Canis lupus familiaris: one gene and its partners. The protein of the gene in region 2 purifies or fractionates together with the protein of the main gene of each other region. This does not show direct contact. Links are inferred from orthologs where the notes say so. Each region holds a gene or a part of one and is shown on either strand. Other genes may lie near its edges.

Region 1 (5,531 bases), on a different chromosome or scaffold from region 2:
AGACAAATAACAGCTATTAATGTAGATAACACAGGGCTTTAAATAGCTCTGAATTCTGAAGCCATAATGATAGAATGCCTTTACTTTCTTAAATTTAATTACTTGGTAGAGGAATTATTAGGGAACAGTTAACTATTTTTGGATTGTTATAACCCATTGTTTACCTTCCATCTACTGAGAAAGGGAGTATCTTCTAATTTCCAAGTCCAAATTAACATAGAGAGTTGTGGTACCCTTTGTTATCAAAGGTAATCTGTTTTTCTCCACACATTAACCAAAGACTGAAGATGAATCCTGCTTACTCCTTCAACTCATAGTGGAAAGAAGCAAGGGATAGCACTTCTTCTGGGGAGGAAACACAACTGCATTTATCCAAACAGAAAACTAAATTTTTCTTTCCTCATAAAATAACACTTGTCCTATGGCAGTCAGAATTCTGAAAACCTGAAAGCATCTCCTTCCAGAAAGAAGTACACACAGCCTCTGAAGCAGAGGTACGATGAAGCTAGCCAAGTATTAGCCAGGTTACATTCAATCTACTGATTAGTCTGTACAATAAAAGAAGAAAGGGGGGATCCCTGGGTGGCGTAGCGGTTTAGCGCCTGCCTTTGGCCCGGGGCGCGATCCTGGAGACCCGGGATCGAATCCCACATCGGGCTCCCGGTGCATGGAGCCTGCTTCTCCCTCTGCCTGTGTCTCTGCCTCTCTCTCTCTCTGTGTGTGACTATCATAAATAAATAAAATTAAAAAAAAAAAAAAGAAGAAAGGGAATTTTCTCTAAAAGAGGTTGAGAAGAAGGAAAGCAAAGCAGATTCTTAAGTATGTAAGTGGAGAGGAAGAGTGTTGAAAAAGATGCCTCTTATCTGAGAACAGATGAGTGTTCTGAACCCCTCTGTATACAGGGCCTTGGGTGTTGCCTTAGACCACACTAGGAGCACTCCAGAAAACATTGTTTTATGCCACTCTGTAAAAATTCAGAACAGCTTTAAGTGGAAGTGGTGTCTGCTTTTTTTCTTTTCAGACATTAAGCATCAGAAAGCCAGGAACCATTTCTTATTCTCTTGAATCTCCAGTATCCAGCAGTGTCTAGATTTTCTAGTAGTTAAGTAAATGTTTCAGTAAGTAAGCATTTCTCATATATGCAGACATGGGAATATCTCAGAGTGAAAAACCAAAGCTTCTGCGGATAATTTAACTGCTTCATAATGATGAATTCGACTTTTATGAAAATTTGTTATATTTTATATAGTCTATATATGGACTTAAATATTCTATCTGTACATGCCAGTTTTAAAGTATATTTAGAAGAGTTTCTATTTTAGGCTGAGTGAGACTCCCTTTCCCGAGGATGCTAGTATCCAGTTTAACCCCAAATCAGCATTGCCTTGAATTTCAGACGTAGTAACTACTTTCTTGGCTTAGATTATCTGCCATACCCTTAATTCTTTGTATGTCATTGTGGGCAATTGTGACCTACCAGTTTGTAGATTTTTGGCCAGTTTTAAAGCTCAATTTTGTTGTATTGATATCTTATGGCGCCACCTACTGACACAAATTGGTAAACAAATGGCTTCAAGTCTACCAGCAGTCAAGAGTTGTATTTGAAGGACTAAAAATAGATTAATAGGGGACTAGAATTTTAGCACTAGAAGTCACCCAGCCTGAAGATGTATTTTACAAAAGAATAAGCTCAGGTTCTATTATCTGTGATAACTATTTTTTTTGCCTGCCATTTTCCAAATTATTGCAGTGTCTTGAGTTTAGAGGATTTCATGATCATTCTGGCATTTTTACATTTTTTTTTAAGATTTTATTTTATTTATTCATGACAGACACACACACAGAGAGAGGCAGAGACACAGGGGGAGAAGCAGGCTTATGCAGGGAGCCTGACGTGGGACTCGATCCCTGGTCTCCAGGATCATACCCCAGGCTGAAGGCGGCACCAAACCGCTGAGCCATCGGGGCTGCCCATTCTGGCATTTTTGAGTATTTTCCTGCCTCAGAAATAAGCTAAGTAGAATAAGAAACTAATAAGAAACTTTGACATTTTAAACCATTGGTTCAGAAAAGACTGCAAAAAGAGCTTTGAGACTCAGGAAGAAGTGTTTAAGAATGTAAAGAAATGGGTTGTATTATATATGCAAATACAAAAGAAAAACCAGATGTTTGATAAATAGACAAGCTACCTCACACTAACATTTGAAGTCTAGTAATATGAAAGTATAGATCAGAGGATTATATGTATATAAATAAGTCTGATGTATGTACATTATTTTTAGGAGCCTTGCTTTCAATTTTATTTATTTAGTTAGTTATTTTTAAAGATTTTATTTATTCATGAGAGACACACGCACAGAGAGAGAGAGAGAGAGAGGGAGGCAGAGGGAGAAGCAGGCTCCATTGCAGGGAGCCCAACGCGGGACTCAACCCTGGGTCTCCAGGATCAGGCCCTGGGCTGAAGGAGGCACTAAACTGCTGAGCCACCCGGGCTGCCCCTATTTATTTATTTTAGGAGAGCATGAGCAGGAGATAAGGGCAGAGGGAGAGGGGGAGAGAAGGAAGGAAAGAAGGAGACTCCCCCACTGAAGGGAGAGCCTTGCACAGTGCTCGACCTCCTGACCCCAAGATTATAACCTGAGCAGAAACCAGGAGTCGGATGCTTAACTAACTGATCCACCCATGCCCCCCAATTTAATATTTTAGATACATGCTTTACAGTAAGAGGGGTATTGGGAACTTTTTAAACTTAGAATAGGTATAAAACTCTTAAGTGGAGATACAACAATAAAGAAGCTGAATAAAGTTTTGCGGTGAGATTGGCTGGGACTGTTTATGAACTTTCTAGCTTAATATATCAGAAAGCCTTATTTAAAAAAAAAAAAAAAAGAAAGCCTTATTTTATACTGCAGTTGTATAGGCAGAACAGCTAATACAAGCAGCATACACCATTAAAGTCAGAGCTGTCCCTGGATTTCTAACCATCCAAATATTCACCTAACCAAGAAAAATGTGCCCTAACGCCCTTTTTATTTTATTTTATCACTTTAGCAGCGTCACCCTTTAGACCAGAAAGCTGGCGGGCACTATGGGGAAGAAACAAAACAAGAAGAAAGTGGAGGAGGTGCTAGAAGAGGAGGAAGAGGAATATGTGGTGGAAAAAGTTCTTGACCGTCGAGTGGTAAAGGGCAAAGTGGAGTACCTCCTAAAGTGGAAGGGGTTCTCAGAGTAAGTTTCATTAACTTGGGTAAATCTATCTATTTAGTCACTGACTATTTCTCAGGAGTCTAGTAATGCGCAAGGCCTAGGGTGCTCTGATGGGTAGTATGACCCAGGCCTGGCCTTCATGGCTTAGAGTCTAATGAGGAAAACTGTCCACATGTACAAAGTGCTACAATGCCAGACAGTGATTTATGAGAAGCAGTTTTATGTGCAGCTTTAGACTGATTCAAGTTTGCAAAGAAAGTAATTTTCCTTTGAAGAAGGCAAGTTTCTAAGCTTTTAATTTACATTAAAAAGTCTGATGCCAACCCCCCTGCCCCAAGAAATCTCAGTGTTACCAAGGTTCTTGGTCTTGGACAAAATCTGGATACTCATTATCATTAACTCCTCTTTTCCAAGGACACCAGCTCTCGTCATCCTGTGCATCTCCTTAGTATGAGTGTGCTAACTTTTGAGTGGAAAGTGTGACTCACTGTGCCCTCTGGTTTCAGTGAGGATAACACGTGGGAGCCAGAAGAGAACCTGGATTGCCCTGATCTCATTGCCGAGTTTCTACAGTCACAGAAAACAGCACATGAGACAGATAAATCAGAGGGAGGCAAACGCAAAGCTGACTCTGATTCTGAAGATAAGGGAGAAGAGAGCAAACCAAAGAAGAAGAAAGAAGAGGTAAGGGGAGAACAAGTTTTACTAGCCCAGAATTCCTACTGCTGTCAAAGCTGAAAAGCCTTTTAATTTTTAAATTTAAGGAGTTTTATTCTGCTGCTTCTTGGGCCTCAGCACCCATCTCTCCTTCCTCTGGAATCTTAGGCTAATGCTTATAAAGTGTTTGGGGGTTCACTTTGCTGAAGCCATGTAATCTATACTTTATCCAAGTTTCTTTCCTTTTTTTTTTTTTTTTTTTTTAAGATTTTATTTATTTATTCATGAGGGACACACAGAGAGAGAGAGGCAGAGACACAGGCAGAGGGAGAAGCAGGATCCATGCAGGGAGCCTGATGTGGGACTCGATCCTGGGCCTCCAGGATCACACCCCGGGCCGAAGGCAGGCGCTAAACTGCCGAGCCACTCGGGCTGCCCTACTTTATCCAAGTTTCAAGAATAATAATGAGTGCAAATAAATTCATTCCTATAGATAGTTTTCAGTGTTGTAATCATTACAGGTGTTAGCTCTATATTTATTCAGTACCTTAAAGTAAGTTATCTTCTGAGGGTGAAGAAACTGTTGTGAAAATTTATTTTGCTTGAGATGTATGTCCCTTTTTACATATGGGGAAACCTCAAGACCTTGATGGAAGAATCACTCAGAAGGATGCATAAAGGCCTGTGACTTGGAGCCAAGGTATTGATGAAATACTGACAAGAATGTGATTATATTAATCAGAGGAGCAGGAGTGACTCTAGTCTGGATAACAGTCCCACATAATTAAATTTGTTGCATCCATCTGATTTTTACAGTCAGAAAAGCCACGAGGCTTTGCCCGGGGTTTGGAACCAGAGCGGATTATTGGAGCTACAGACTCCAGTGGAGAACTCATGTTCCTGATGAAATGGTGAGTCTGCTGGTGGCCCTGTGTGGTGGTTTTTTTCTTCTCCCCATCTGTTCCATGCCAGAGGAAAAGAGCTGGATCTTCGAAATTCCAGTCGCCCAAGTGTGAAATCTTTAAGATGGCATAGTCCTTCGATAGTGACCCTCGGCCTGACTGCCAGCCTGGACTCATGAGTTACAGGTAGGGGCCCTTAGGATTCTCAGATCTTTGCCCCATTTATTAGGAGGTGGGAGAAAATCCAGGATGGAGAAGGTACAGGGAAGGATCACATTTCACTTCTGTGAATGAAGGGGTTGGGAATGAAATGTGATTGAACCACCTTCCCCTTGTACAACCTCCTTAATAAAAATTGGGCTGGCCCCAGGATCAGAAGTTCTGTTAACTTCTCAGGGTTATTTAAGAATTTCTGTAGCTCTTCCTTTGTCTTTGATTGTTAGATCCTTTCCAATTTGTGCAGATTCTGTAATTCCAGGATCAGCCAGTAGGGGTCAGCAAGTCACCTTTACTGTACTGAGAGCATAGAGTAATAGGCTATTTTTTTCCATTAGAAGTATGAATACCAATGGTAGTAATACTCCACAAAACAGCTTAAGGAAAACAGTTGTCTTGAGAATGATAAGAACTTTAATTAACCCCAGATTCCCTAAAATATCCCTATTCTCTGCCAAAAGGAAGGCTTTCTTTTCTTTTTCTTGCTGGTTGAAAAATGTTTGTGCTTTTTTCCCCCCCCAGGTAGGTCTCAAATATTGTCCTTAAAAT
Region 2 (5,991 bases):
TTACTGAGGAACTCAGAGAGTTTTTATTTATATGGATTACATCTTTTGATATTTACCATATTAGACACTAAAACAAAAGTATTTATCAAGAGATCCCTGGGTGGCGCAGCAGTTTGGCGCCTGCCTTTGGCCCAGGGTGCGATCCTGGAGACCCGGGATCGAATCCCATGTCGGGCTCCCGGTGCATGGAGCCTGCTTCTCCCTCTGCCTGTGTCTCTGCCTCTCTCTCTCTCTCTCTCTGTGTGACTATCATAAATAAATTTTAAAAAAAAAAGTATTTATCAATACAATTAACAATGAGGCATCAAGCTGACATAAATAACACTTTCAATTAAAAATTACTATTTTTCCCAAAAAGAGTAACCTTTTTTTTTTTTTTTTTACATTTTTGCCTAAATTTAAGGTCTAGCTTAATAGAAAGCAGCTGGATTCTCATAGTGTTTATGCATTCAGTCTGTTGCTGTAGACTATCTGGCCTCACAGCAGGAAAAAGGAAAAGTATTCAAAAACCTTTTCAGACAGCTGTGTATATTGACACAATACTAAAACTCGACAAATGGTAGTTTCTTTTTTTTTTTTTAAGGTTTTTTTATTTATTCATGGGAGACACAGAGAGAGGTAGAGACATAGAGGGAGAAGCAAGCTCCTCACAGGGATCTCGATGTGGGACTCGATCCTTAAACTGGGATCATGCCCTGAGCCAAAGGCAGATGCTCAACCACTGAGCCACCCAGGCGTCCCCAAATGGTAGTTTCTTAAAGAAGAGTTGCATCTTGGAATCTGAATCCCTATCAATGAACTTTTCATATTTTATTACATTAAAATCCACTAGTGTACCTTGCATTCTGAAAGGATATTTACTTATGATGATTGTGAAATATCAGCATTGGTTGCTTGGAAAATATAGATTTACTGCGATGCCCATCCTCCAAATGTTGACATATTTCACTACAAATATAAATATAGAAAATATTTAAACTGTTAAACCTGAGATGTCAACTTTTGACAAATTCTAATTTTCACTCTCAAATTTTTATCATTGGTAACAAATACTGTCAATTGTTTCCTCAAAATAACATGCTCGCCTCGTTGTCAAGAAAATATAAGCGCAACCTTAAAGTGTGAAAAACTGTAGTTTGTCAGTTCTTTCAAGTGAAAATGCTGTTCCATGAAACAAGCAGCTCATAACTCAATCTCACAAGCGCTTTTCCTTATGAGAAGGACCGTACCTCCTTAGTCAGCAAAGTACTTTATGCATCCTTCCTATTCGATCAAAGATTCTTAAAACTTAAAAAAACCATGTACCCAAGGGTTGAGATTTAACAAAAATCATTTCTACTGTTTCATCAAGGCCATTTTCACACGGTGTTTCGTGTAACTGCCTTGCTTTGTGCTAACGGACCACCAGTTTTACTCAGCTTTGCTTTTTGGACCATCAGTGCAAATGTCACTGGAAGAAAGATAAATAGTGTCTTAGTATTTTCTACTTTGAAAATAGTTATGACCTCTCAGGTCCCCTGGAAGGCTCTGAATGATCCCCAGAGGTCAGTGGGTCACCTTTTCCAAGATTATATCACTGGTTCAAGGTTGGGGTGGAAACGAACAAAATCCTGTTCATCCCAAGAGTCTTCATCTTCTTAGTTCCTTTAGTTTGAGATACATCACCAACGTGACCGGTGTGTCATAACCGTAGTATAAGGGGAAGGAAATCAAGGACGTAATTTGCCATGAAATTGTTTTAAGATTGTATTTTGAGCACTTTTACGCTAAATCAACAGTTCTTTATGTGGCGGTTAAAATTTAGAGAAGATAGCACCACACACACCCTCCCCTTCCCACCTGAAAAGACTTGAGGACGAAGCCCCTAACACAGCACTTTCAGCAACCTCCAAGGTACTTTTTAGCTATCCCGAACTTAAAGATCTAGAGAACGAGTTCGAATTCAGAGTCCAACTCCCGGTCCCAAGAACAACACATCATGGTCTGGAAATTCAATGTTGTTCACCAAGGAGCAGCCCTCTCTGCCCCGCTCTTTCCCCTCCAACTAGATGGGGAAACTCCTTTGAAAGTAAAACTCCATTTCTGCAGGGTTTTGAACTGCAGTGGGAGGTGTCTAGAATGTAGAAGGCTGAGCTACAACCCGCAACAAGGTGGTGGTTCTGAGATGGTAAAATTGTCTTCCCGTGTGCATCTCAGAGAGGAGATGGGGCCAACTGACTTCCAAGCCTCTTCCCATCTCTTTTTCTGGGCTAAAGAAGGCCCAAGACAAGTGAGCTGAGCTATGTCCACAGTTAGGAACAGCGTGGAGGAATCCCGCGTCTGGCGGGAGAGGAAAACAGGGTCAGTGGCAGAAAGGAGGGGAGGCAGGTGGATCAACGACATCAGTCCTCCCCAGGAGGTGCTGAGAATCTAGACAAAATAGTCCCCGGGAGGAACATGGCGCCCACCGCGGCAGGATATAATCAGCCGAAAGAAAGGTTTTCCGCCCCATTCCATTTTACAAATCACGGCGCCAACGCAGAGAAATTTTAGGGCCAAGGGAGGAGACTTGGTAAACTAACTGCAGCGCACTACGGCTTGGGAGGTACTAGTGGACCGAGCGGCGATTACGTAACACAAGGGAGCGGCACAGCGACCCCTCATTTTCCTCCTCGCGCCCGAACAGCGCCCCAGTCCTAGGGAGGCGGGAGGGCGCGGCGGGAGAAGCGAGCGCTCCCCCCGGGACGTCACCTCGGCGCGGCCTCGCCCCCCGCCCGCCGACTCGCAGCCGCCCGCCCCCTCCCCCTCCCCCTCCCCCTCCCCGCGGGCCACCGCCCGCCGCCCGCCCACTCCTCCGAGACGCCTCGCGCCCGGCGTGCGTGTGGACGTCGGTGTGTGCGGGGCCGTGGGGCGCGAGTGCGCGCGCGCGCGCCGCGGAGGACGCCGGGGGGCGGGGGCGGGCGGCAGGCAGGCAGGCAGGCAGGCAGGGTCCGCCCGGCCCAGACCGTCGCGCGGCTCCCGAGCTCCCGCGGCTCCGGGGGCGCACGCGCTCGCGAGCCGCGCCCCATGCCCGCCGCCGCCGCCCGGGCCGCGCTGCACTCGCGGGGAGCAGGGGCGCGCGCCACCGGGCCCCTGCCCCCACCCCCCGCGCCCCCGCCCCATCCCCCTCTCATTGTCTCGCCTCCGAGCGCCTCGCCGAGCGAAAAGATAACGGAACCCCCGGGAGAAGGGGGTGGGGAGAAAGAAGGCTCGCCCGCTCGCTTACTCACCTCCCGTGGTCGTCGCCGCCGGTAGTCTGACCCGAGGAAGGCGCCGTCGCCTTAAAGGGACCTCGCACCCGGCGCCGGGAGAAGGGGGTGGGAGCAGGGGAGGGGACGGGGGCTTGGGGAGACGGCTGAGAGGGAACCGTGGAGAGCGCGTCTCCCCGCGGGGGAAAGGAAACCTCCCTCGGGTTCCAGTGACTTGGGGTGGATTTTTTTCCCGAGGGGGGCGGGGGGGCCCCGAGGGAGGGGGTGGGGGGGCCAAGGAATGCGGCTCCGTGTACGGGAGCTGGCGCGGGGGAGAGAGACGCCGACTCCCCCCACCGACCCTCTCGCTCCGCGGAGGGATACGTCTCGTCACTTCCGCCCTCCCCCTCTCGTGGCCTCGCAATTGGCTGCGGCGTGGGACACGTCATGGGCTCATCCTAACCCCTGCCCGGGCTTCTTTTCCAGTCAAGTTTGTCTGGACCTGCAAATAAATAAATAAATAAATAAATAAATAAATAAAAAACATTTAAGAAAAATGAAATAAGAATAATTAGCTTCAGAAGCAACAGCTAAATCTTGATGAGGAAAATGGAATTTCCAAGGAAAATAGTGCCCAATTCACTTGCCTGGACTTTCCAAAGAAATTTTGGGCACCTCCTCACTTTCCACTCAAGTCTTGTACCTAACCAAGAGGAGAACCTCATGCCACAGGCCAGGTGGTGAGACCCAATGGCACCAACAACTGTCCTTGGAACAAAGGCAGCAGAATGGCACATACTCTTCATCAGGAGGCATTTGGCCAAGTAGCCTTGTGGCAGTAGTCTTAAGTGAAGAACTTTTAAAAGCTATTTTTACTCTGAACCCTACTGGATTCTGGAAATAAATCACATATATTGCTTATCAAAGTGACTCATGTATGGAAACTGCTTTGAAGCCGTTTGTCAATAGACTCGGCACAAATCCTCAATTCTAAGAAACCATAGATTCTACATCTGTGCTTTTTGCTCCGATCAAGGCTGAGGGGGATTGGCTCAAAGAAAGGAGTCTATTCAAGACCAGCCACCTGTAATTTTTCCCCGAACAAGAAGTACCTCTTTTCCAGGTATCTAAGAAATTTAGTCCTTTTTTTACTTTCAGAGATGATAATATTGTAAAATTTTCCTTGGATATGTGAGTATGTTGTTGCTCTCTAAGCAATACACAAATATTTACTCCAAGCCAATGTAGATCAAAGTACTTTGTGCAAGATTGGGGAGAATCAGAACCATATTTATTCATTTTTTTATATATGTGCACTTTATTCAACCACCAGACTGAAAATAGGCGATGGAATTAGGCATTACAAATTGCTCCCTCATGCACCTGTGTGTACACAATGCCGTCCATTTTCATTCCACTTCATCTCATTTCATACTAAGTACATGTGAATGATCTCAAAGTGTCATTTTTAGCAAGAACTTTATTATTTGGATTGAAAAAAAAATCACCAATCCTTCCAAAAATACTTCTGAAGCCTTTCCAGACCTGATCTAGAAAAGCCTAAGATGGGATTATGGAATCAATCACCAGAAGACAAATTCTACAAGAAGCTCAAATCCTATTTTATACTTTCCTACTATAATTATAATTCATTATAAAGTTATTTGCCTCTGAAATATTCTTGTTGAAATGTATTTTCCCATGCTGAAAGTGCCAACTTATGCTCTCTGCCAATGAGGTCTAGTCCAGCAGACTGTACCATGCACTGTTGACCAATAACCATTAGCATACCATACTGAAAATGCATCATGCATCCATTCACTTTTTTAACACATTTTTATTGAGTACTTTGCAATATGCAGGTGCGGGTCTAGGTGCCTCAGGTCGTGTACTAGGTGAGTACAACAAAAAAGAAAGCAAAATTCCTGAACTCATGAAACTTGTACTCTAGTGGGGAGAGACATGAAATATCTACATAAACAAATTGTTCCAATATCTATTCTTGGATAACAAATGGCCCCAAAACTTAGTGGCCTAGAACAACAACAGTTGGGGATCCCTGGATAGCTCAGTGGTTTAAGCGCCTGCCTTCGGCCCAGGGCTTGATCCTGAAGTACCGGGATCAAGTCCTGGGATCGAGTCCCACATCGGGCTCTCTGCATAGAGCCTGCTTCTTCCTCTGCCTATGTCTGTGTGTGTGTGTGTGTGTGTGTGTGTGTGTGTGTGTGTCTTATGAATAAATAAATAAATTCTTAAAACATTTTTCAAAAAAAAAAGTATAGGGACACCTGGGTGGCTCAGCGGTTAAGCATCTACCATTGGCTCAGGGCGTGATCCTGGAGTCCTGGGATCGAGTCCTACATCAGGCTCCCTGCATGAAGCCTGCTTCTCCCTCTGCCTATGTCTCTGCCTCTGTGTGTGTGTGTGTCTTATGAATAAATAAAATCTAAAAAAAAAAATAGGTTTAAATTTTTAAAAAGAACAATTTTATTATAATTTCTTATGGTTCTGGGAGGTGATTAGGCTAAACTAAGCAGTTTTCACTTGAAGTCTCATGCAGTGGCTGGGGCTGAAATCTTCTCAAAAGCCTCTTCAAATAGCTGGAAGTTGGTGATGGCTGTTGGCCAGAACAGCTGGCTGTTGGCCTCTCCATGTAGCCTGAGCTTCCTTATATTATCGTGGGTGAATTCCAAGATTGAGTCCTCAAGAGGACCAGGCAGAGATTGTATGGTTTTTGTGACCTAGCCTCAAAGGTCACAAAGCATCATTTCCACCACACTTACAG
Region 3 (5,531 bases), on a different chromosome or scaffold from region 2:
CCAAAAGATAGCATGGTATAATTTTAAAAGAGCCTGGGAATTAGGGCCAAAGTAATCTGATACTAGATCCTTGTGCCAGCACTTACCAGTTATGCTATCTTCAGCAAATAGCTTTGTTAAACCTCCTCATCTGTACATTCAAAATACCTCTAAAGGCTGTTATGAGAATTAAAGAGAATACATGAGGTAGAAGAATCTGATCACTGCCTAGCAATCAGCAGGTACTTAGTTACAGACAATGCTAATGGGGCAAAATTTGTTCCAGTCTGTAATGAATTCCCGGGCATTTCCGAGAAAGTAAGGACAAGTGCTTTTAATTCATCTGCCCCAAACTTTCTTTCCCTCTTTAATCAATGTAAGTTACCAGTTACTGTAACTCAAATACAGATATAGTCCTAAGTACCTTCAAAATGACCAACAACTTCCAATGGTAATTCAATGGGCCCAATAAACATCCTTAAAACCTTTTGGTGTTATTTTAAATTCTTATTTCTAGGTCTCTCAAACTCGTAATTTCTCATCTCTAAAGAATGCCGTGATACGATTCCTCTTTGGAATATAAAGGGCATATTCTGATTGCTGTGCTACCCATATTTAGCACTGTGTGCTAGAGATGCTAAGCATCCTATAGTGCATGGACTATCCCATCTAAAATGTCAAAAGTGCTCCAAATGAGAAATGTTGATTTCCGTAATGAAAGAACTTTATGTTCCAAAGGCTCCTGATTCAGACCTTTGTCCAAAGGTACTATCAACACTTGAACCTTTTACTACATTTAATAAGTCCTATACTTTAAAGCTGTGATATTCAATATGTTAACATATTGTGTGGCTTCTGAACACTTGAAATGTGACTACTATGAACTGAGATGTGCTATAAAATGTAAAATATACATGAGATTTTTAAGATATTAAAAAAAGTAAGATATCTTAATTTTATATTGGTTAATGTTAAAACAGCACTTTGATATACTGTGTTAGATAAATTAAAATTAATTTCACTTTTCTTTAATGTGGCCAACAAAAATGTAGAATTATAGACATGCTTTGCATTATATTTCTATTGCAGAGCCACTCCAAGAAGCCTACAACAGTTTCTACCACTGCACTAGGATTCTAGAAAATCCATTCTTTGTTATCAGGCATCCTGGGAAGATAATTAATCAGAAATTGAGGCAAAATGTCTAATGATTACACAGATTTCACCTTTCAAATTACCTCTTCTGTGCTTCAATGTGTCTAGTTCTATTTACTCCAAGGAAAAAGAATAATCACCTCTAGCACTTCAGCATAAAGCCAGTTACTTCCTAAGAGACATTCTAGTCAATACTCAGTATCATTCTTAAAGCTGACTTTTAAAAAAAGGGTTTCTGAGGTTTTCAAATACAAAAACAAAAAGCTAGAATATCTTAGTGTTGATTGCAGAAACTAGGTGGTGTGTATCTCAGTGTTTACTCAATTTCTTTTGTCTCGGCTGTAGATTTGAACTTAAAAAAATAAATACTAGGGGGAAAAAATGTGGCCTCAGATTTAAGTTTCTCATTAAGATGAGTCCTTCATCCTAGGTCACTTGTAAGATCCAAAGATCATTTTAGAGAGGTATAGGCTATGGAATAAACAACTTCTGCTTAAATGTATACAATTTTAGCTTAGTTATATGCAAAAGAATATTAACAGTAAAAGTTTATGCTTTTAAAGATTTTGTTTTTAAGTAATCTCCACCCAATGTGGGTCTCCAACTCACAACCCGGACATCAAGAGTCACATGCTATACTGACTGAGCCAGCCAGGTGCTCCAGTAACAGTTTATACTTAACATTAAGCTTACCTGTCAGGCTCTACATATACCCAACATCCCTATGACAAGTACCATTTCCTATTCCTGTTTTTTTGAGGAGGAAAAAGATTAAGGAACTAAACCAAAGTCACCCAGCTCACAAGTGGTGGAACAAAATCTGGACCTAGGCAATCTGGCTCCATGTCTATGCACCTAGCCAATTCATTATACTCTCTCTCAAAAGCGTTATCATTAAAACACCAGCTCCAAGGGAGAGGAGACTCTTTAATTTATTGCTACGTCTTCAAACTCTCAGGAGGAGTGCAAGTGAGGAGGGAAAAAGACAAAGACGGCAGTGGCTCATGGGGAAGGAAAAAAGGTGTCCACCTCTACAGAGTCCTAAGGCCTAAAAGAAGCACTTACTCAGAAAAGCCTTTCCACTTCAGTAGATATTCCACTTGCCCCTTAACTACACGCCTGTCTAGCACCTTCTCCACGACATACTCCTCCTCATCCTCTGAAGAAGAACTGTCAGCTGTCCGCTTGGTTTTCTTTCCCATGTCGCAAGCTGTTCCACCTGAAGGACTAAGGCCACCGGGTTCCTGCAAATAGGAAGGACAGTATGGTCAGAATCCATGCAAGAAGTTAAAACTTTGTCTCTTCTTGATGGAACGCAGGGGGTATAACACAAAGTTGCCATGTACCCTTCTCTTGGGTCTTGATGCATTCTAGAGGAGTCCTAAGAATATAAGCAAAAAATGGGTCAATCACCACTTTCCCAACCACAACTTTCTTATCAGCTCACAAGGCCAACATCATTATTATAGACACAACTGTGTAACTTCTCTAATTTCAGATTCCAAAGACAAGTGGTGTGGTATATTACTCCTGAGTACTTCTATAACTGTTTTACAAGCCAGGAGCTCAAATAAATGCAGAAAACTATTAGTTAAAATAACAGTGATAGAATTAAAACCTTTCCCTATGAAGTGAATAAGGTTCTTCATAAAAACGAAAAAAGAGGGGCACCTGGATGGCTCAGTTGGTTTCAGCTCAGGTCATGATCCCAGGACTTCTTGTAGTCAGGCTCCTTGCACAGCAGGTAGACTGCCCCTCCCCCTGCTTCTCTTATGTTCCCTCCCAAATAAATAAATAAAATCTTAAAAAAAAAAAAAAAAAAGCTCCAAAATGTAACCTCAGCCCAGAGAATCTTGTCTAGTCTCTTAGCAAGCTCAGGTATCTTTTACCACTGTCTTCAGGGACTTGGTATATCTCTCTCTCCCTTAAACAAACTGAGCTTGTCCCTACAGAGCACCCATCAGTTCACAAAAGCAAGGCTGGCATCTCAGATACACTAAGCCACCTTTTTCACTTGGGGATGGGAGAGAGGCAGAGAGAGAAAAAAAATTTTAGTCCAAAAAATAAAAATTAGTTACTGGATTGTTCAGTAATTCTCATGGCTCAACTAATCCAAATAGTTGAGGAGGTACCTCTCTTAACTGGAGTTGACTTTGGGCCAAAGGAAGAAGAGGAGGAAAAAGAAAGAAGTCTGGCCCCAAACTCACATCAACATGAAGCCTCAAAGCACAGAGGAACCATTCATAGGCCCAAGGAAAGCTGAAGCAAGGCAACACAAATGGAAATTGAGTTAAGCTCAGAAATATGCACAACCAGGGGGTACTCAACGCAGAATCTAGTTTTTTTAAATTCCCACATTGTCGTCTCCATAATCATTTTTAAGAATTCTTCTTTAACCATGTTAAATGGTGCCTACAGTCTGGAATATAGAGTAGCAGGAATTGTTTTCTTAGCTGAACTCCATTTTTATTTTTCTGTAAGCTTAAAGGATTTTTTTCAGCACTCTCTAAAAATATTTCCATCCTGACTAGAAGACGACTCCCAGGAACAGGAAAGGCCACCACTACTAATCTCAGAACTGTGTTCAAGTCAAGTAACATAAAAAGTTGCATTTATCAATTTACTTCAAGTTAGCAAAATTTAAGGAATTATTCCAAGAACATCTAGTTGGAAACCATATCTCTAGAACCTACTAGCAATAGGTCTGCCCACCCAAAATACTGTCTGTATCCACTACTGCCCTGTAAAAAAAACTTAAGTTTTTATTAAAGTACTTTACTTGGAAAAGGGGACGGAGGGGGAGAATGTAGACAGGAGTTTCAAAATATTTTTTCCATGAATTTAGAAGAGAGTCCTAAGCTTCAAGAAAAAAAAAAAAATCTTATTTATTTAAAATAAAAACAGCCTCTAACCTCACTAGAGACAGGAAATGTCATATTCCAGGGAGAGTACCCCACCCCCACCCCCACTCACCTTGGAATTTCCGGGAGCTGAGCTGTTTAGGTCAGAGCGCTGGGGTTAAAACCAGCCCCGGGTTAGATGCATGCAGTTAAGCATTGTGGCTATGGCCTCCCCTGCCTCACGAGGAAAAACAAGGATTTACATATGTGTTCTTCAGTTTGAGGGAGGAAAGAAGAAAATCTCCCTTTATACCTTCATGCAGAAGAGGAACCCCAAAGGTAGAAGATGAATGGGGGTTCCCTCCTTTACCTACCGGATCGCCCCAGTTCTTTCTTTCCCTCTGGGCTAACAGGAGGGGCCTCCCCTCCCAGGTCTGGGGCTTGGCGGGCTGGCAGCTCCCCCGCCCCCACCCAGCTGCCTGGGAGCCACTGCGCAGCTGTCCCAGCCCGTTGCCATGGCAACTGGCAGCAGTACTAGACTAAGGGGGGGGAGAGGCAAACGGAAAAGTTAAAAGGCTTAACTTTCCTTTTCAGTGAAGACTGGGTGGAGAAGTTGGAAGGTACTCCCTTGGTCTCAAAGCAAAGGCATTCAGAGCTCAAGGGAATTGGTTCTTGCGTTTTAAACCCAAAACCTGTGCTTATTCCTCTAAGAGCACTGGGAATTAATCAATAGCATTTTAAGATCATCTAACAGGATTATAGCTCAACTAGAAGGGGGAGGGGAAAAGCTAGGCCCTTCTACAACAGGATCAGTACAAACCACTCACCCCTAACCCAGCCCACCAGAAGCACTTTAAATAAGGCCTTTTTTGCCATCTGTCACTGAACAGTTAATTAAAATTGCTTGGGGGATGAGGGGATAGCAGGAAAGGGGGGGAAGGGAAGTATTTCAGGATACTATACAACTTTCCTTCTTTGAGGGATTACTAGATACAGAAACACAATCCAGACACTTGAAGCACTATTAAAGAACCTATCCACCGAAATTAACAGGTAGGAAAAAAAATGTAATCCTTATGTAGTTCTTAAAAAAAGAGGGGAGAACAGTTCAGCCACAACTGTTACTGAGTTAAAACCACTTTTCATTAATTGTGACTGTAACATTATGAAACAAATTTTCAAATAACTACTACCCACCTGAAGCATTAAGATATAATAATTTAAAACTCCGTATCAATAATCCCTAATACCTGAAATAAAGGATGATAGAGATAAAGAAAAAGAGCTACTTAGAGACCTGCAGTCCCATAAAGTTTCTTCTCTCTTGACCCTAAAGAACATTTTCAAGAGCTCTAGAGCCTTCTGCTTTACAGTTCAGGTCTTTAGAGCCAGAGGTTGCTGCCACAGGAGAGTAAGAAAAAGGGATAATCAAAAGCAAAGAACCCAACTGAGGAAAAAGCAGAAAATAGTGATTAATAACAAATTATGAAATAGAAGAAATTTTAAGGTATAAAAGTAAAGTAGACAGTTCTTAGCTACAGAAGGTTTCCTGAAATT
Region 4 (6,238 bases), on a different chromosome or scaffold from region 2:
TCTAGTACACCCAGCAAGGAGAGGGGTCATAGACCATCTAGAACCCCCAGCAAGGAGAGAGGTCACAGCCGATCTAGAACCCCTAGCAAGGAGAGAAGTTATAGCCTTTCTGAAACCTCCAGCGAAGAAAGAGATTACAGCCGATCTAGAACTTCCAGCAAGGAAAGCTATCACAGCCAATCTGGAACCCACAGAAAAGAGAGAGATCATAGTCCCTTCAGAAAAAAGAGAGCTCACAACCAATCCAGAACCTTCAGAAAAGAAACAGATCACAGCCGATCCAGAATCCCCCAAGAGGAGAGAGACCACAGGCGATCTCGAACCCCCAGCAAGGACAGAGACCACAGCCAATCTCGAACCCCCAGCAAGGACAGAGACCACAGCCAATCCCGAAACCCCAGCAAGGAGAAAGGCCACAGCCGATCTAGAACATACAGCAAGGAGAGACGCCACAGCCGATCTCGATCCCCTGATAAGGAGAACAATCCTAGCCAATCTACAATGCCCAGAAGTCTCAGCCAGAAGGATTCCACTAGCAGAGAACACAGTCCCAGTCAGAATGGAACACCTAGGGAGACAAGGGACCACTCCCCATCTAGATTGCTCAGTGGAGCCCCAATTCCAAGCCAGGATGATAATCAAGGTAATGCCACCATCTCTAAGGCTGCCTCACCTGGAGAGAGGTCCTCATCATCTTCTTCCAAGCTGGCATAGCCCCCAGTCTCAGTGGGCTCACGGGTCTCTGTCATGGCCAGGGGAGGGGACAGGAGACAGGAGCAGAGGAGCAGCTAGGCAGAGTCCCTCCCCGGCCAGCTCTTCACAGCCACACCTTGGTCACAAGTTCTCCAGTGCAGGACGTCGGCAAGTAGAGCGGGATGCTGAGCAGGGGAAGGAAAGGCCTGTGGTGACTCAATAAATTTTTACATTAGCATCTGCCTCCCCAGGCCCAGCTGTGTGCTCAGTGCTGGGGGAAAGGAAAAGACAGCCCCTGCTTCTATAGATCTTAATTCCCCCATCTGGGCAACAAAGCTGTCAGTGGAGCGGGGAAGGTAATATTCCAAAAATTTAGCAGCAGGTACCAGTGTGGGTACCAGTCAGAACCGAAGGGAACATGGTCCTATGCCAGGAATTAAAACACTTTAGTTGCCGGTTTGTGAGAAAGTCTAGAGCTGGGGGAGGGTCCAAAGTGGCAGATGGAAGGTAGGGAATTACTTGAGGTAGTGGTGACACACCAATCCGTCTAAAATTACTTCAATATTTAAACAAGTGTATGACAGCACTGGTTGGTGTCAGCCCTAGTTCTACACCTTGGCAAGATAGAGTCTAGGTCTGAACCCTAATCTGCCAGTCTAGCTGTGTAGCTTCAAGCAAAGGACTTAACTTCTCTAGCCTGTATCCTTCTCAGTACAAAAAGGCTTCCAGAGCTTAACTCAAGTAGTCCTTATAACTATGTTGAGAGATTATCATCTCCTTTGTACACGAGGAAATTGAGACACAGAGGTGATTAGCAAGTAGTTCAAGTCATACCAACTAGGATTTGATGTTATCCTACCTCTCATAAAACGATCCCCTGACTGAAAAAACTTTTTGAAGATTCATTAGGCTCATTCAGTATAAACTGCTGGTATGTGGCAGGTACTCCAGTAACAGTGGCTGCTAATACTTCCACCTGTAACCATTCCTATAAACCCCCAGCCATTACAGACTTCTCATCTCTCCCTGGGGACACCAGGACTTTTCATATCTGTGGGTCTTAGCAAATCCTGCTATTGCTGTCTAGAATGTCCTTCTTTCCCCTAGTCTGCCTGGTGAACTCCTATGCACTCTCCAAAGCCCACCTCAAAGCCCAAATACCATCTCTACCCCTTCCCAGAAGGGGTTCCTTTCTCTCCTATCCTTCTTCACCAATACATCCATGTGCTGCGCACACACACACACGCACACATACACACATACACACACACACACACAGTTCTTTTGTCTCCCATTGCACTCACTGGCAGTAGAAAGCCAGGAAGAGTAAGTTAGTGAAAGGGCTGGCAGCCTCAGCTACACTTTTTTTTTTTTTATTTTAGCTACACCTTTTTATACCAAGACCTGTGCTGGGTACTGGGTATACAATGGTGGAAAATACACAATCTCTTCAAAGCCTGGAAGTCAAGTTTAATGCTGGGGGCTAAAGATAGAGAAAAAGAGAAAAAAAAAAAGTGAAGCCTGGAGGAGACTGGGGCATGGGAGGGCTGGTAGCAAGCAGGGGAGTTTTCTAAGGACACCTGGATCTGGGCTTTAAGGATGGGAGATTCATAATCTGCAGAGGAGAATTGTCATGATATCATACTACTTGTTGGGTCCCATCTAATTTGGGAATTCTACTTTATGCCAGGATAAATTTGCCAAATTCAGTAAATAAAAACAGACCATGCCTGGTTAAATTCGAATTTCAGATAAGCAGGAAATTACTTAATATACATAGGTCCCATGTAATATTTGGGATACACGTTTCTAAAAGGTTATTTATCTGAAATTCACATTTAACTGGACGTTCTATGTTACCTGGCAACCACACGCTACAATCAGGGTTTCCCAAGAGATTACCAGGAGACATTGCTTACCAGTCCAGCCTACCTTCCCCCCAAACCCACATTACACAAGGGCCTTCCAGAGTTTTCCAGATGTCAAGTGGAGACATTCTTTGATGCGCTGGTCCCATTCCTACAACTACGGTGGCCATACTGGCTTCCAGAATTCTAAAGGGGCACAAATGAGGCTCCCTCACCATCACAAGGAAAAAAACCCGCCAAGGCCCTACTACATCCTGAACCTACAGCACCGAACTCCCAAGATGCCCTGCGTGAACATACTAGGCACGCGCTCCCACAAGGCTGGGGCAAGGGGGCAGAGCAAACCCTCACACAGGACGATAAGGACCAGTCCCCACAATGCCCTGCGGCAACTCTTCCCAGGATGCCTCGGGCCTATAGCGACCACCTTCCGAGGCGTTCGGCGTCGAAGCACGCCAGGCTTCCGCGACGCTCAGCGGAAGGTGTGTGACAAAAGGGACTCGTTCCCCACAAGGAGCTATAATCCTTCCCAGAATGCACTAGGCCCATAACGACCAGCAGACCGGCTCCCACAATGCCTTAGGGCGGAGCGTCCCGTTCCCCCAGGATGCCCCAGGACGGCACGGAGCCGCGCTGGGGGGAGAAAAGGGAGCCCGGGTCTCGCCCTCCGGCCGTCGCGGGCCAAGACGGCTGCCTGCTCGCCCCGGTGTCGGGAGCCGTCATTCCCATCATGCAGCGGTGCCGTAGTGCCCGCTTCCCAGCATGCCCCGCGCACCCCTATCCCGGACACTCACCGGCGCTAGCGGCCCCCGCTCTGGCTCGGCGGCGGCGGCTGCACGCCTGGGCTCTGCGCCTGCGCTGCAAGTCGGGGAGGAGGGAGTGCAAAGCGGCGAGAGGAGCCTAGGGCGCTTGCGCGGCGAGATGGACCATTCCCATCGCTCGGTGGGAAGAGGGGCTCCGTGAGTCGGGCCATCGACGAGGCCCGCGCAGGGGGTTCCGGGCTTTGCCCCTCGCTGTCCGGGTTTACTTGGTACAGTCCGCAGCTAGACGGAACCAGAAACTGCAAGGCTTGCGCGTGCGTGAGCGAGCGGCAACGCGCCTTCTAGAAAACGGAATGAGCTGGGGGCTGGGGGCCGCCAGCTAGGCCGGGATCCTGGACCTGAGGCTTGCTTATTTGCATAATCTTAGTGAGGGACAATAGGAGCCCTACGGCGGTGAAGGGGCAATTTGCATATTCCCCGGAGAGGCCGTACTCCAGAACGCTGTGATTAGCATATGGGGTGGGGGGGCGGCTGGGGGCGCTCCTGAACAAAGCGCATGCGCTCACGGATTGCGGACTAGCGCGGAGTGGGTGGCCTTGTTTTAGTTGGCATCAGTTTGCATCCGGAGAGGGGGCACAAGGGCCAAGACACTTACCAAACCCTCACAAGCCCTCCTCTACCCCCAGCATAAATATTTACTGCTCTCTCCTGTGCCAAGCCCTGTGCAGGTGAGCACTGTGGTTTCCGCAGTATGGAGACAAACCTGGCCCCTCATGGCACCCCAATCAAAGGAAGGGGAGCCATACAAAGTCAGAACCACAACCCAGTGTTCAGACTTGGGATGAGTGGAGTATAGGAAACTGTGGGAGCCAGAGGAGGTGCGTACCCCAGCTTGGAAAGGCTTCCAAGAGGTGGTAATCTTTAAGCCAAGGATGAATAGAAGCCAACCAGGATAGGAGTTTTTCTGGCAGAGGGAACAGCAAGGGTAGAAGCCTCCAGGCAAAAAGTAGTGCATGGTTTGATTGAGAAAGCGATAGTATGTCTGAAACAGAATTGAGAGGGTTCCCCGGGGTGCCTGTGTTGAGTCCCACATTGGGCCCCCTGCATGGAGCCTGCTTCTCCCTCTATGTCTCTGCCTCTTTCTCTGTGTCTCATGAATAAATTTTAAAAAATATTTAAAAAGAGAGGGGAAGGGGCTCCTATAGGTGAGGAGCCAGACTACGCTGATGCTGACGATATAGAAAACTTTTGCAGGGTTCTGGGCTTCCCGGAAATTGACTCAGATTCCAGCACAGAACTCTCCAATGAGCTCTCATTACACTTAGAAAAAAACTCAAACTCTATCATGGCTGTGAAGCTATACACATGATCTCCCCCTTCTTGTCTCTGATTTCACTCATCTCTCTTTATCCACTCTAGTCTAGCTCCACTTCCCCTCAAACTCTGCAATCTCTTTACCACGTCAGGCCTTTGCCCTTGCTGTTCCCTTTGCCTGAAAATGCTTTTCCCGCTGATCTTTGAATAGCTGATCTTATGCTCATCATTCATATCTTGGCACAGGTGTCAATCAGCCAGGTTCTCCTTGATCTTTCAAAGATGGTACCTCCAGATTTGCTGTAGAGAAGTGAGTGTGGTTGTGGATAAAGCAGGACTGGCCACAAATTGATGGTTGTGGAAGCTGGGGTGAAGGGTGCATGGGACTTCATTGTCCTGTTCTGTTTACTTCTGTGTTCAAAGTTTTCCATGATAAGTTAATAATACTCCATATCCCCTTACTCTGCATTTTATCTTAAGGGCACCTATGGCAATCTGAAATTTTTTTTTTTTTTTTTTCTTCCTTGCTGCAGTCGTTTTCCTCATGGAAGCTCTGCGTGAGGGTAAGAATGGAGTCACCCTCCTTTTTCTTTGGGTCCTCAGTGCCTAGAACAGGATCAAGTTTCAGGTTAGTGCTAAGGCATCTAGAACACCTAATATTTGCCTGTTTTATTCACTATGGCATCTCCAGATCTTGGAGCAGCACCTGGCACAAAGAGGTCAATATATGTTTTAGTCTAAAATTAGAATCACTCACCTAAAATTTAGTTGACTGAATGAGGAGCAGGAAATGCCAGGCTAAGGTGGTTTGACTTGACCTAGAGGTGATGGGGAGCTAGGGAAAGGTTTTGAGCAGAGCAGGGGCAGGTGTTATAATGGTGCGATGTGAGTTAATTGCAAGATCCTTTGGAGATTGATGTCAGGGATAGGGGTAAACCAGGGGAAGGATTCGGGCCATTGGCTGGGGACGGGGTAGCTCAGTGGGTACTGAAGAGACAAGACTCAGTGACTTTTGGCACCTGAAGTGGCCAGGAAAAAAAGCATATTTCTTAGAAGGGTGGAGGTGCCCTTGAAAAGGGAAGGGCCCTCTCCTGGCTTGTACCATCCACAAGCAGCCATCTTACTCCTCTCCCTCCTCCCTCCTTTGGTTCAGTTCCCCTCCCAACATGGTGCAGCTCTGGGCAGAGGGACAGACACACAGCCACCCCAGACACTTGTTCTCTCCTCAGTTTAATGGTGGTTAGTGGGATTGCCAAACCCCCTCCCCGTTCCCCTCCCTGTACAAAATGTGTTTGTTTTGTTTTGTTTTTTTTTACAAGAAAAAGGGGGCAAAAGCCAGGAAAGAGGGGAGGGGGGTGCAATCTGATATTTTCATACAGATTTTTAATTTTTTTTTAATATATTATATATAAAAACCATAGAGACCAACGCACCCCCCCAAACTCCTTTCCCTCTCCCTGGAGGGCCTGGAGGAGAGATGGGGAAGGCCCCCCAGGAGTGGGTGGACAGGGAGACAAATATGGATAGGACAGATATGAGGGGGGGAGAGGTGGAGGGATGGGGAGCCCAGGAACCTGGGGATTGGAGAAAATAGTTGGGGCT
Region 5 (6,006 bases), on a different chromosome or scaffold from region 2:
CAGCAATTGCCCTGCTGGGGATTTACCACAAAGATTCAGATGCAATGAAACGCTGGGACACCTGCACCCCAATGTTTATAGCAGTGATGTCCACAATAGCCAAACTGTGGAAGGGGTCTCGGTGTCCATCGAAAGATGAATGGATAAAGAAGATGTGGTCTATGTATACAGTGGAATATTACTCAGCCATTAGAAACCACAAATACCCACCATTTGCTTCAATGTGGATGGAACTGGAGGGTATTATGCTGAGTGAAGTAAGTCAATCAGAGAAGGACAAACATTATATGTTCTCATTCATTTGGGGAATATAAATAATAGTGAAAGGGAATATAAGGGAAGGGAGAAGAAATGTGTGGGAAATATCAGAAAGGGAGACAGAACATAAAGACTCCTAACTCTGGGAAACGAACTAGGGGTGGTGGAAGGGGAGGAGGGCAGGGAGTGGGGGTTACTGGGTGGCGGGCATTGAGGGGGGCACTTGACAGGATGAGCACTGGGTGTTATTCTGTATGTTGGCAAATTGAACACCAATAAAAAATGAATTTATTATTACAAAAAAAATAAAGATTTTATTTATTTATTCATGAGAGACGGGGGGAGGGGGCAGCGGGGAGCAGACACAGGCAGAGGGAGAAGCAGGCTCCATACAGGGAGCCTGATGTGGAACTTGATCCCAGAACCCTGGGATCATGCCCTGGGGATAAAGGCAGGTGCTAAACCGCTGAGCCACCCTGGCGTCCCTGTCCTATCCTTTACGAAAAGTATCAGCTACCACCAAGAGCATTTAATGTGCTCTGTGCTAATAGTAATTACAGGGTCAAAATGTATTCCTTCCAGGTTACTGCTCCTCAAACTACAATACAGATTAGAGATACTTATTTATATTAAGAGGATCCCCTTTAATAATTTCAGAAACAATAACTTAAAAAACTGTACAGTATTTCTAATTTTGAGAACTTGTCTTGAAGATGTTATTGCCTACAACACTGTTTTCTATCACCTATATTACCGGTTTATTATTTGCATTTGGGGGTAGCAGTTTAAATATAAAAAGGTGACAAGACAGTTGAGGAAACAAACGAGTGCTTTTCAGAAAGTATTAGCTCCTTCAGGAGCTTCAGGAGCTGCAACTATCCTGGCTTTCAGAAAATTGTTTTTAGGGCTCTATGGGCTGACTAAAAAAAGAATATAATCACTGAATACTGAATAAAAAAAATCTCTGAAACTTGCAAACATAATGAAGATAACATGTAGAAAGAATGTGCAGGTTAACGATCCACCTAAAACCCAGTGTCTCATAAAAGTATAAGAATGTTATAAGAAAAGGCAGCGATTTCTCAATAACCGCATCTGGCCTAAACGGCCACAATCAACAGTCAAGGGATGTTCATAAGGGGGACATTACATATTAAAAACCATCATTATAGTATAATAAACCCTAAGTTGCATATATATGACACAGAGGTTAAGACCTCAGGCTTGTTGGGTTTGAGTGAGTCCTGGTTCCAGTATATGGCTTTTGTTAGGTTGCTGAACTTACGTTTCAGGTTCCTGGACGGATGTTAATATTTTGTAGCATATTTAGAACAGTATCTCATGGTGAACTGTCGGTGTCAGCTATGATTATTATACTAGAAACTACAAGGGCATCCTCTAACCAACAGTTCAGTTTCTGGTAAGTAAATATTGCCCAATGACCTTGCTAAAGTTATGGCTGACCAGCACGCAGTATCTCATCTGAAATATACTCAAGTCCTATTTATGACAGGAAGATAGACTTTGTACTTTCACAACTTGCGTTTCTTAAACTTAAACTGTTAACTATGAAACTTTTCCCATCTTCTCAAGAAACTAGTGTAGAGTGGGAGAAAGTATCTTACTCAGTACCTCTCTATTGTCTTTGCCTAATTTACAGTCCTATCAACAAAACAACTTTCATTTCCTGTATGTTAACTCATCAACTTTTTACCAATACTAGTTCATAAAATAGAGGTTATCAATAAGCCCAATAAGTGTATAATACAGGAATCAGATTATGAACTTTAAGAGTAAAGCATTTTGTTCTCTTCCTACAGAAATTACTGAGCACACTATTCTGTCATCAGAAAAGTTTTTAAAAAATGCTTCCATGGCATGCCTGGGTGGCTCAGTTGGTTAGGAGCCCGAGCCCACCTTTGGCTCAGGTTGTTATCCCAGTGTCCTGGGATGGAGCCCTATACCGGCTTCCTGCTCAGTGGGGAGTCTACTTCTCCCTCTGCCCTCCCCCCACTCATGCTCTCACTCTCTTGCTAATAAATAAATCTAAGGGAAAAAAATGTTTCTGGCAAACTTACCAAATGAAAAAGAAAATAAAACCACATCTCATAAATTGACATCTCTAACATTAGTGCAACAACTGGAGAACCACACCCCCTGTTCCCATTCCTATGAAAGAATTGTGGTTCCTTTCCTTTCTTTTTTTTTTTTTTAAAAAGATTTTATTTATTTATTCATGAGAGACACAGAGAGAGAGAGAGAGAGAGAGTGAGAGGCAGAGACACAGGCAGAGGAAGAAGCAGGCTCCATGCAAGGAGCCTGATGTGGGACTTGATCCCAGGACTCCAGGATCACATCCTGGGCCAAAGGCAGGCACTAAACCGCTGAGCCACCCAGGGATTCCCCTTGTGGTTGCTTTCTATAGGCAAAACTCTACCACTATTTCTGCTTACTTCTACTTTCCATTGGCTGTATCTCTGTTTCTTGCCTCTCTGGAAATTTTACACTAACCCTACATTTTATTGCTGCTTCTGTAAATTAGTTTATCTTTTTTTTTTTTTAAAGATGTATTTATTTATGAATGATAGACACACACACACACAAAGAGAGAGAGATAGAGAGAGAGAGAGAGAGAGGCAGAGACACAGGAGGAGGGAGAAGCAGGCTCTATGCCTGGAGCCCGACCTGGTCAAAGGCAGGCGCTAAACCGCTGAGCCACCCAGGGATCCCCAATTAGTTTATCTTTGATGAATACCACTTGCCCTAATTCCTGCTGCTTTTGCCTCCAAGTGGCCCCCAGCCACCTCAGCTTGGATTCCTTTTGTCCTTAACTGCTGCATGTTAAATCATCAGCTCTCTCACCCTCCATGGAGTGCCAATCAGTTCCTCACCGATCCTGCTCCCTCTCAATCTGTGTTAATTCCGATGGCTCCCTAGACTTGGGTGTTTCCCATCTCCCTCACCTGCCCCTCTCTATTTCTTCCTCTTCTTACCATCAACTCTTCTGGCCAGTCTCAAAGTGTCTATTTCCCAGCCTCATTATCAGACCCTAGTAACCCCTTACTCAAAAAAATTTTTTAAAGAATTGTTTAAAATTCACTTCTCAAACCCCAAACTCTGTCATATATATGCATACCTGTCACATCTTCATGCATCATTATGTATGCACATATGTGCTTTTGTAGATTTTCCTTAGGTGTAAGCACTTCTCAAAAATGTTCACATCTTAAACATACTCTCCTAATTGTTATAAAGCAAACAAAAACAATATGCAAAGTAAAGCTGGTAAAATAACACTATAAATCCAGGCCAATTCCCTTTAGAGCAGGGAAGAAATAAAGACCAACAATACTTTCTCTGGTAGACTTACCAGTTTATCTTCCTAGAAGCCTTGAAAGTATGTCTTCAAAGGGCAAGCAAGTCTACATGGCTTCTGAGTTAATTATAGAAAATAGTTTGTAGTACATGAAGAACAAAGATGATAAGATGGACCTGGAAAAAAAGAATAAAGGAACTGTAATCAAAACTACATTTCTGTGATAATCTATGCAAAAGAACTCTGCCTATTTCTCTTGCTGACCTGCTCCCTGCCAACAGTGACTGGGGTCAATCCACTTGCTTTAATGAAATAATACCAAAGATAACCATGGATACTACCAATGACACCACCCACATCTTATTCCATTTTAAAATCCAGGACCGAATCCTGAACCCTTGTCTATAACCACAGCAAATTCATCGTCTCACTTCAGCTGCCGAGACCACAGGATACAGGAGCAGCTGATGTTTTGTCCATTATCCACACTACACTGCAGAGCAGTAAAGTAACAGGTAGTGAGGAAGGGACAAGATTGTCCACAGGACCAAGGGGCAAAGAAGGAAGAGGCATCAGAGGATAAGGAAGGACAGTGGTGCTCCAGTGACTGCACAGCCTCTTCAAACATGGATTTCAGAGAATGTGTCAGGGTCCGGGTAAGCTGTTGACTTGAATAGCAAGAACAAAACTGGCCATGAACAAGCCAGGGGATAGTGCACAGCACACCACTCTACCCATGGTCAAGCTGTAATGTGGATAGCTGTGCTGTCTGTGCCTCTCTAGCCTTACTTCCTCGCCATCCAATCGCCATACTGTTTCCAGTCATCTTCCAAATACAACCTAATGCCATTGGCCTGCTCACAGTTCCTCAAAATATCCCCCAACACCTACAGAAGACAAAACCACGGTATATATAGCCCTTCACAATCTGTCTGTCCCCTGACTGGACTTCATTCCTTTAAATACAAACCTAGCCTCTGGACTTTCACACAGGCATTTCCTCTACTTTATACTCCCTGGCATGGTAAGTTTACACACTCGGCCATCGGGCAAGTTTCTCCATCCTTTAGGAAGAATTACTTCCTAAAAAACAATGGCCAACACCCTCCCCAACTCTCTTTGTGTGCACACCTTCCATGTAGGCATTACTCTCTTGCACTACAAGAGTCTGGCTCTCAGAGGGCCTGTTCACCCCTGTAACCCTTGCACATTCTTGGCACATGGTATATGCTCATAAAGTATCCGTTCGTTACCTCTAAACATCCCATCATGAAGACTAGAGACTTGATCTTAGATTCATAGGACTTTAAAACTAGAAGAGACCTGTGCTACCATCTAGTTTACAAATCATTGTGATTCAGAGCAGAAAGACCTCAGGGATCATCTACTTTGAAACTTCAATTTATGGCTGAGAAATTCAAACCTAGACATTAAGTAATTTGCTCAAGATGAAGCAAGTAATCAGCATCTCACAAAGGACGAGATTAAAGTTCTGTCATCTACCTAGGTTCTTTCTAATATATCTTGACTAAACTAATACACTAGAACCTAGAAGATCTTGACAAACTAGTGTAATGGACAAAATCAGTAATACGAATCGACAGAGAACTGCACTCCATCATCTACATCAGACAGAATGTCCCAGTGGATCACTGTCTCCAGCTCTGGGCAGGAAGGATGAGTTTAGAATACTAGGCAACATGCAAAAGAAAGCAACCAGGATGGCAGGCAGTCTTTAAAAACATGTCTTGGGCAGCCCAGGTGGCTCAGTGGTTTAGCGCTGCCTTCAGCCCAGGGCCTGATCCTGGAGACCCGGGATGGAGTCCCGCGTCCGGCTCCCGGCACCCGGCATGGAGCCTGCTTCTCCCTCTGCCTGTGTCTCTGCCTTTCTCTCTCTCTCTCTCTCTCTGTGTGTGTTTCCCATGAATAAATAAAATCTTAAAAAAAAAACACACACAAAAAAACATGTCTTTTCTGAGTACGGAAACTGACTAATTTCAAGTGGAAGAATTATGGGTAATATGTAAGGTATCCTAGAAGCAACAAGTGGAAGCCAGCAGGAAAACAGATTCCAGCTTAAGAAAAAGTTTTACAAACTACTCAATCATGGACTAGAATGAGTTGCATTCCCAGGTAAGAGCCCTCCATAACCGCAAGCCAATGGTCAGTATAGGACTGAAAGGATCCTCAGATGACTTGAGTCTAAACTCTCCACTTTAGAATCGAGAAAACTGATGCTGATGGAGAAAAGTGCTTGGGATCACAACAGTTAGGAAGGTCAGAGGATGCCTGATCCTGGACCTTTGCTGAAATACCATGACGTCTTTCCCATCAGCATGCTGCAGAATTCAGCTCCTGGGTAGACGCTGGACACTGAGATTCCTTCCAGCTTTAAGATTCTAGCCATTTCCCACCCTAAATTTCAGAGCTCC

The links.
Region 1: the proteins of POGZ (region 2) and CBX1 purify together in Homo sapiens (affinity purification with mass spectrometry; 7 studies listed by BioGRID and IntAct, with this or other methods). This does not show direct contact. The link is inferred for Canis lupus familiaris from reciprocal best matches to the Homo sapiens genes POGZ and CBX1.
Region 3: the proteins of POGZ (region 2) and CBX5 purify together in Homo sapiens (affinity purification with mass spectrometry; 5 studies listed by BioGRID and IntAct, with this or other methods). This does not show direct contact. The link is inferred for Canis lupus familiaris from reciprocal best matches to the Homo sapiens genes POGZ and CBX5.
Region 4: the proteins of POGZ (region 2) and ZNF428 purify together in Homo sapiens (affinity purification with mass spectrometry; 3 studies listed by BioGRID and IntAct, counting the BioPlex papers as one, with this or other methods). This does not show direct contact. The link is inferred for Canis lupus familiaris from reciprocal best matches to the Homo sapiens genes POGZ and ZNF428.
Region 5: the proteins of POGZ (region 2) and CHAMP1 purify together in Homo sapiens (affinity purification with mass spectrometry; 4 studies listed by BioGRID and IntAct, with this or other methods). This does not show direct contact. The link is inferred for Canis lupus familiaris from reciprocal best matches to the Homo sapiens genes POGZ and CHAMP1.

The regions. Positions count from the first base shown.
Region 1 is NC_049230.1:24,317,873-24,323,403, reverse strand, and holds part of CBX1 (chromobox protein homolog 1), read left to right. Parts: intron 1-3,051; 5' UTR 3,052-3,088; coding exon 3,089-3,228; intron 3,229-3,713; coding exon 3,714-3,891; intron 3,892-4,680; coding exon 4,681-4,775; intron 4,776-5,531. UniProt on the Homo sapiens protein: Component of heterochromatin. Recognizes and binds histone H3 tails methylated at 'Lys-9', leading to epigenetic repression. Interaction with lamin B receptor (LBR) can contribute to the association of the heterochromatin with the inner nuclear membrane.
Region 2 is NC_049238.1:61,167,227-61,173,217, forward strand, and holds the start of POGZ (pogo transposable element with ZNF domain), read right to left. Parts: upstream 3,430-5,991; 5' UTR 3,249-3,429; intron 949-3,248; 5' UTR 838-948; intron 1-837. UniProt on the Homo sapiens protein: Plays a role in mitotic cell cycle progression and is involved in kinetochore assembly and mitotic sister chromatid cohesion.
Region 3 is NC_049248.1:45,617,265-45,622,795, forward strand, and holds part of CBX5 (chromobox protein homolog 5), read right to left. Parts: intron 4,499-5,531; exon of another isoform or gene 4,349-4,498; intron 4,213-4,348; exon of another isoform or gene 4,108-4,212; intron 2,379-4,107; 5' UTR 2,337-2,378; coding exon 2,200-2,336; intron 1,515-2,199; exon of another isoform or gene 1,069-1,514; intron 1-1,068. UniProt on the Homo sapiens protein: Component of heterochromatin that recognizes and binds histone H3 tails methylated at 'Lys-9' (H3K9me), leading to epigenetic repression. In contrast, it is excluded from chromatin when 'Tyr-41' of histone H3 is phosphorylated (H3Y41ph).
Region 4 is NC_049222.1:112,228,671-112,234,908, reverse strand, and holds the start of ZNF428 (zinc finger protein 428), read right to left. Parts: upstream 3,721-6,238; 5' UTR 3,356-3,720; intron 3,000-3,355; exon of another isoform or gene 2,862-2,999; intron 2,803-2,861; exon of another isoform or gene 2,626-2,802; intron 879-2,625; 5' UTR 750-878; coding exon 674-749; intron 1-673.
Region 5 is NC_049243.1:61,534,325-61,540,330, forward strand, and holds the start of CHAMP1 (chromosome alignment-maintaining phosphoprotein 1), read right to left. Parts: upstream 3,751-6,006; 5' UTR 3,629-3,750; intron 1-3,628. UniProt on the Homo sapiens protein: Required for proper alignment of chromosomes at metaphase and their accurate segregation during mitosis. Involved in the maintenance of spindle microtubules attachment to the kinetochore during sister chromatid biorientation.